2 linked regions of the Diceros bicornis minor genome follow. The protein of the gene in region 1 purifies or fractionates together with the protein of each later gene. This does not show direct contact. Links are inferred from orthologs where the notes say so. Each region holds a gene or a part of one and is shown in the gene's direction. Other genes may lie near its edges. The genes, in order: GLMN and CUL9.

Region 1 (3,915 bases):
CACACACACACACACACACAAAACCATATCCTCAGGGCCTAACACAGGTCTAGTCTATCTTAGACTCAGTAAATAATTTTTGAAAGAATGAGTAAATTAAGGTCAAAGCCAATACTTCACAAAATGAGAAATCATAGATATATATTACTTAATCATCCTCATAGACTATTCCTATTCCAGAAACCCTTTGTGACAGGATATAAATCTTGCCTTTTTAGGAGAAGCCAAGAGACAGCACAGGACAACTTTTTGCTGAAAATATGGACATGATGTAAACAAACAACAGAAAAGGTTTCTTGGCGTCTCTGGCATACAAAGAAAAGTAGAAAGTATCTGGAGAGGTGGAAAAGGAGTACCTGGTTAATTCAGGACTGTTTATTCCCATAGACACCTTTCTACAGACACTCATACCTTCACCAGTGATCTACAAGTGTCTGATTTGGTTTTCTTAAAGCACGGAGTACGGGGATGTAACAGTCTGTGTGAGAACTATAGTGCTTCCCAGATATTCCCCTTCTCTCTCATAAGAATTTTCTCAAGGGTAGCACCCATTATTGTTTTTAAAAATGGTTCAAATAATATAAGATAAACAGATAAGAGAATGCAGTTGTCCAAGTAGTTCTCATACCTTTTGGAGGCATCCTCTTGTTGCAAGGCACTTGTCTGTTTAGTACCTACGATTAAAAAAACCCCAAAATCAGTAGGTCAAGTATACACAAACACACTAGGTTACAGGACAGATTCCTGCCCAAATATACTGCAGACCATTTTTTCTTCTTTTCCACACATTTCATTTCCAATCCTGTGTGTAAATCAAATGAAATGGGAAGGGATCCAATTTGTTTTTGTAAATTAATTAGTTATTCCCGAATTTTTGGTTAAAATGTACCTCTTTCGGGATTGAATTTTGTCTTGAAACACAGTTGCATAGTTAGGCACTCCTGCAAATCTGAGATCTGGCTCCTTTTACGGGCAACCTCTCTCCATCCCCCAAATGTTCGCTCCCAGGGAAAGGGAGGAGTATGACACCTCAGAGAACCGGAGCACCAGATCAGCAGGACATCTGGAAGGAGGACCAGTGCTAGGTTCAAGGCCAGCTGCGCACTGCCCGCTGACGCTGCCATGGTCACTTGCTCACTCTGGCGACTCCAGGCTCCCAGGATCTCTACTGCCCTTTCCCTCAGAGACTGGAGCACAGCCCTTCTGGGGAAAATCGTGGAATACTAGTGGAAAGAGGTGGAGGCGGCCGGAGGTCTTCCCCAGAACGCGCGAGGACGGCGGTGAGAAGCTCTCGGCCTTCTCTGCCCCGAAGACTACCTCCCCCGGGGCAGCCTTTCGGGAGCGCCCCGCGCGCCTGGTCTGGAACTCTGTCGGGGCTCAGTTCTCAGGGTCCAAACGTGGGAAGAGGCCCTTCTTCCTACCTGCGGCGTTTCGGGAGGCGCGGGGACCCCGGGCCTTGGGGCGGGCCGAGGGCAGCCTGGCCGGCTCAGCCATGGGACGCGTCCTCACAGGGTCGGGCCCCGCCTCGGCGTCTTCTCCCGAGGCTCCGCCTCCCTCGCGCAGCGCGGGGCGGGGCCCGGAGAGCGCCCTGCGCGGCCCCCGGAGGTGGAGGAGGCGGCTGAGAGGGGCGGGAGGGGTGGCCGGTAAGTGGGCGCTCCGGGAGTGCTGGGGGCTCGGGGCTTGCCGGGGGCCGTCAGCCGCGCAGGACTCGGGGCCGCGGACCAACTAGGCCCTGCGAGGTGGTGGGGCCCGAACGTCAAGGCGAGCAGGAATCGGGAGAAATGGCTTCCCTTGGATGCCGCCCGCACGCGCGCTGGGGTTTCATCCGCCCTGGAGCGCGCAGCCGTGAGGACCCCGCCGACCCGCGACCCCACTGTGGGCCTGGGGCTCGGCCTTCCTGCTGGGAGAAACGATGACCGGTGGCAACGGAACGGTGTTGTCCTGAGGGCCGCCGGTTGCCTCGTCTGCGTGCGATATAGTGATTTCACTGACTGGATTGATTATTTTGGGGAGTGCATCTCTTATAGAGAAATGTCTCGGTCACGCTTGGGGTGGAGGGCGTCTGAACTTGCACCCTCTCTGGGTGAGTTTTGTTGCACTGGCGGGACATTAAAACATAAAAAATTCCCTACTGATTTCAGGCCCACCTTTCGGAGATTTTTTCGGAAAAGAAATACTTTTCCTTTTTAAAGTCATTTATATAGTGCATATTTGTGTTGCTTCTTGAGAGTGTCTAGAGGATTTTTTTTTAAGTCTATCTTTCAAAACTATGCTCTAGAAAAGTTAAAAGATGCAACAGGAATTTTTTTTAAAATACATTTTTATTTTCTTGGGTTAACACTAACTTGCAGTAAAAGCATTTCAGCTTTACAAGTTTCCATTTTCTTTATTGTATTTACTAATAATTCATAAGAATGAAACATAACTTATTAATACTTCAGTGTAATATCACTTATAGTTAACAGTGTGTTTTATATTAGTACATTTCAGCCTCAAACTAGGAAAAACAGGAATGGCTGTGGAGGAACTTCAATCTATAATAAAGAGATGTGTAAGTAATTTTTTCTTTTTGTAAAGTTAAAATACCTTTCAAAATATGGGAAGGGTACAGATTATTTTTATTAACATTTGCAATCACTCAAATCGTTAATCTTCTTTAATCCTTGCTTCTTTTGACCTGTGAAAAAATAGCATGAGGGCAGGAAGGCAGATTGGATTATTTCTCTAAGTGACATACTTGTCTAAATAACCTTTTAAATTTTTGATGCTGATCCTTACCATAGATTTTTTTGGTACAATGGATTTCAAGATCATTCATTAAAATATTTATTAGGCTAATTCTAATTTTCATACATATGCTTGTGTGCAACTTATCTAGAATTTAAACAGATTTCCTTTTTTCAGAGAGTTAAATAAATCAGGTAGTTATTGGATTTGTATTTACCTCAACATGTTTGATTTTTGTTTATTTTGTTTTTGTTAGCAAATCCTAGATGAGCAAGACTTTAAAGAAGAAGATTTTGGCCTATTTCAGTTAGCAGGCCAAAGATGCTTAGATGAAGGGCACATAGACCAGCTATTAGAAATTATTCAAAGTGAAAAGAATAAGGTAAGTACAATCTTTGTGTGTACTTTTCAGTCTTTACTAGGAGAGAATAGCCGCATGATACTATTATTCATCCATTCATTTTTTTCATCAAACATTTAAGAATCAACTTAAATTTCCACAGTAGGAAACTGTGGGAAACAAAAAAGGAATTAGGACTATTCATATGCTTTCAGGTGCTTGCACTCTGGTGGAAGAGATGAACATGTAAACAGCTAGCAAGAAGGAGGCAGAACAAACAGATGCTTTACGTCTGTTAACTCATTTAGCCTCTCCAGAGTAAGTGCTATAGTTGAAATATAAGTAAAGTGCTTTAGAAGAAGAGGGATTACTTCTGGTTTGGGGATCAAAAGTGGCATTTGAATCATTAATTTACATTGAGAAATATAATTATCAGGCAGGCTAGATACTCATTTTTGGTGATCAGCACATTCTCTTCCTCCAGCCAGATGAATATAGAAAACCAAATATTAAGTCTTAGGTGCCTAGAATCAGAATATGGGGAGAGCTGGATGACCTTACTAGCCATTATCGTCCAGCTATGATTGTCTGAGAAGTCATTCTCCACAATGGGAAAGGATCTTTTTGGGATCAGGAACAGCTAGGACACAGTGTTGGCAATACTGCCAAATTTTGTGTCTTTGGACTCCCCTCCTTATACAAGGGAAGATCATCTTCTTTCCAGGAACATACTCTTTCTTCATTTATAGTATTATTTATTTATACAGGAGTTTTTTTTGTTGATACCACAATCTGGTCATGCTGGCCTGTGATTATATCTAGGGCTCCTTGATTGTATTTGGGAGGTT
Region 2 (3,915 bases), on another chromosome or scaffold:
CTAGTTATCAAGGGGATGATTTGCCGACATGTTTGAGAACCCCCTAACCTCTAACCCCCATTGCTGTCTTGCCCCAATTTGGGGTGCCAGGATGGCAGCCACCTTTCTGGGCTTTTTCCTGGAGATAGCTGGGGCTTATGGGTGGCTTACAAGGCTGGGGCATGGCAAATCAGGGGCCAGAGAGTGGGGGAACTTGGGACTCAGGTCTGTAACTGCCCAGCCCCTTTTCTCTGCTCTCCTTTCACTCCACCATCACTCACTCACTCCCCACTCCCCCACCAGGGGAGGAGACCTTGATGAATTCCTCCTCTCCTTCCCACAAAAGACAGACCCAGTGAGTGAATCAGGCAAAGTGCTTATAATGTGTGTTGTGTGAGCGTGGCCTTGGGAGAACATGCGTGCGTCAGGGATGAGGTGGCATTTCTATGTGCAGTGACCCTTGGTGTTTCCCTTCCTTGATGGCTCTGGGGGGTGTGTATGTGCCTGAGTGAATGTGTGTGTGTGAATGTGGAGTGTGTATGTCAGTGGTTTCTACTTCCCCTGGGATGCTGACCCAGGAATAGTGGACATGGTCACAGTCCTATGTACAGAGCTTTCTTTTGTATTAAAAAAAATACTCTTTCAATAAATGTATCATTTTTGTGCACAGACAGTGGGGTCTTTGCCTCCGTTTTTCCATGCAGGGAGGGAGGGAGGGAGGTGTGAACACGAATCAAACCCCAAAAGTTGCTGCTCCGAGAAGGAAGCCTGGCTGCTTGATGAAAACATCCGGCAATGCTAAGGGGAGCTTTGGGCTGTTGAACTCCGTACGATTTAATTTAACGAACATTTCGGAGGCTGGGCCTTTATCTCGGTGAAGGGCTTTGCCGGCTGTTAGGCCAACACAGACATGAACAATTTTAATTAATAGGAAAAGTGACTCAACCAAAGCATTGCCAAGGGGTTTGGGAAACTCATGTCCACGTTACCCAGTAAAAACTCAAAGAGCAGCCCTAGCGGGGGAGTGTGGGTCACTAGGTTTCAGGGGGATGAAGAAGGTTGATTCCGTGAAGGGGAACGGGGCTTCACAATTGATTGCGGATGGAAACGGCTCTCCACTCCTGCAGCGAGGAGCAACGGGACCGCGATCCCGGCTCCGCCTGCAGCGCGCCTCCACGCAGCAGCCCGCGGGCACTACGCATGTGCCACTCGCGCGCTGCTCCGCCCGCTCGGCTGTGGGCCGCGGTGGGACCCGTAGACGCCCGGCCGCGCGCGCTCTCCTGCGTGACCCGGAAGGGAGCTGCTGAGGAGGCGGGGCCAGGACGGCGGCATCGGCCCCTGGGCCCCAGCGAGGGCCGAGCTGGGCAGTGGGAGGTGAGACAAGAGTCCTGCGCCGCCCCGGTCCCCGTCCCATCCCTGCTTGGTCCCTTACCCACTCTCTGTCGGGCTGACGACGGGACCCAGGTCTCACTCTCTTAGGTTCGCTCGGTCCTGTCAGCCTCCTCGGACCGCGCCCTCCTCCCCATCCTCACCCCGCCCCCCCAAGCCCGTTCCCACCGCTGTCCTGGCCTCCGCCGCCGCCCCTGCTGGTCTGCAGGCTTGGGCTTGACCTTGCTACCAGCCTACCTGCTGTGTCATCCTCGCGTCCAGATCTCTCTACACCTCAGTTTATTGTCCCAGGCCCATGACAGTTCCCCACCTCCTCTCCTCCAATCTTAGGCCTATCTGATTGTTTTACCCCTGTATCCTGCTCATCAGTGGTCCATCGCATCACTGGTTCCCTCCCAGTCTTGCCCTCCATGATAACTGGACCCCTACCCCCATCACCTCCTATGTTTCCCCTCCTCTTCACGCCTCTCTTCTATTCTCATCTTCTCTCCCTGACCTCAACAGGACCCCTGCTCTGATCACCATTTCTTCATCTGAGTTTACCTTCCATTCTTACTCTCACCACTCCCGGTTGCCCCCACACTGCTTCATATCACACACATCTTTTCCTGACGACTAGCATAGCCATCACCCTACTCCCGTTTACAGTCTTCTTTTGGCTTAATATCTTTCCATTTATCTGAGGACTGCTCCTACCTTCTTCATTTAAGAATAGTAATATTAGGGCCGGCGCCACGGCTTAGCGGTTAAGTGCGCGCACTCTGCTACTGGCGGCCCAGGTTCGGATCCCGGGCGTGCACCGATGCACCGCTTCTCTGGCGATGCTGAGGCCGCGTCCCACATACAGCAACTAGAAGGATGTGCAGCTACGACATAGAACTATCTACTGGGGCTTTGGGGAGAAAAAGGGAAAAAAGGGGGGAGGATTGGCAATAAGTGTTAGCTCAGGGGCGGTCTTCCTCAGCAAAAAGAGGAGGATTGGCATGGATGTTAGCTCAGGGCTGATCTTCCTCACAAAACAACAACAAAAAAGAATAGTAATATTAGATTGTGTTTACGGAGCACTCAATATGTGTTGGAAGCTGTTCTAAATGTTTCACGTATGTGATCTTACTACAACTTCATGAGATGGGTATGAATAGTATTACCATGTTGCAGAGGAGGAAACTGAGGTTCAGAGACTAAGTAACTTGTACAAAACTACAAACATAGTAAGTGAAAGAGCCAGAATTCAGAATCACATTCATCTAACTTTGTAATCCATACTATTTGCTTCCCTATTACCTCTACCATCTCCTGACCTCATTCCCTACTCTTTAACTCCATGATTACCACCTCCATCTATATCTACCTGACTTAGACCCTCACTATGCGTACAGTGTAAGTCCAGGGTAGGACCTGTCTTTTTTTCCCATAATGTTATCTGGCCCCCTGGCTCCCTCTCTCTTTCACAGTATTCTCATACACTTTTCCCATCCAGCCATCTGGATGTGGGGGCCCACAGCCCAGCCTCCTTTCGTCTGTTTTCTCTATATCTGCCATGGCCCAGCCCTTTGTAGCCACATACCAGCTTTACTCTCATTTATACTCCCTGTCCTGCCTCTCCCCTCCCCTGACTTTCCTAACTTGTTCTGGTGCCACTGTCGCAGATGCTTCTGTCCTTCCTGCTCGCCCATATAACTCTTCCCTAAGTCCTGAACTGTATCCCTCAGCCACCCTGCTATTCTGCCCAGACTGTCCTGCTTAACTGTTGCTCTTTTTGTTACCTTGCCTGTTGTTCTTCTCATCCTCTCTCTTGTAACCTCTTTCATTTCCTGAATCCCTTCATTTCATCCTCTTGCTGTTTTCACTCCGTGCTCCTCTTATAAATTCCAAAGTATGTTCAAGTTATTTATTCCATCCTATTCTTGGCCTTTTCTATTTGGCCCCTGAATTCAACCATGCAGCCTACCAATCACCACCCAGCCTCTCTGTGTCTCCAGATTCCACCCCTTCCGTGTAGTCTTTTCCCTTTCCCATACTGCCTCTATCTTTCTCTTTGTGTGTCTCAGGAGGTCAAGATGGTGGGAGAACGGCGCACTGGGGACCTCATGGTGCCCCTGGGGCCCTGGCTGCAGGCATATCCTGAAGAACTTATTCGACAGCGTCCTGGGCATGATGGACGTCCTGAGTACCTGATCCGATGGAGTGTCCTGAAGTGTGGGGAAGTGGGCAGAATGGGTGTGGAAGAGGGTAAGGCAGAGCACATCCTCATGTGGCTGTCAGCTCCTGAGGTCTACGCCAACTGCCCCATGCTGTTAGGTGAGCGGGCACTATCTAAGGGACCTCAGCATGAACCAGCTGGGGGTTCAGGAAGCTTTCCTCAAGATCCAGGAGGCTTGGATGACGTGGCAATGGGAGAGATGGAGGCTGATGTGCGGGCGCTGGTGCGCAGGGCTGCCAGGCAGCTGGCAGAAGGCGGGACCTCGAGCGTCACAGCCACTGTGCTCCACACCATCCACGTACTCAGTGCCTACGCCAGCATCGGGCCCCTCACTGGGGTCTTCA

What was found.
Region 2: the proteins of GLMN (region 1) and CUL9 purify together in Homo sapiens (affinity purification with mass spectrometry; 3 studies listed by BioGRID and IntAct, counting the BioPlex papers as one, with this or other methods). This does not show direct contact. The link is inferred for Diceros bicornis minor from reciprocal best matches to the Homo sapiens genes GLMN and CUL9.

The regions. Positions count from the first base shown.
Region 1 is NC_080743.1:28,576,737-28,580,651, reverse strand, and holds the start of GLMN (glomulin), read left to right. Parts: upstream 1-1,741; 5' UTR 1,742-2,031; coding exon 2,032-2,083; intron 2,084-2,480; coding exon 2,481-2,551; intron 2,552-2,983; coding exon 2,984-3,109; intron 3,110-3,915. Other genes in the region: putative RNA polymerase II subunit B1 CTD phosphatase RPAP2, read right to left, coding at 629-674, 890-1,124.
Region 2 is NC_080753.1:22,535,283-22,539,197, reverse strand, and holds the start of CUL9 (cullin-9), read left to right. Parts: upstream 1-1,295; 5' UTR 1,296-1,353; intron 1,354-3,419; 5' UTR 3,420-3,428; coding exon 3,429-3,915. UniProt on the Homo sapiens protein: Core component of a Cul9-RING ubiquitin-protein ligase complex composed of CUL9 and RBX1. The CUL9-RBX1 complex mediates ubiquitination and subsequent degradation of BIRC5 and is required to maintain microtubule dynamics and genome integrity.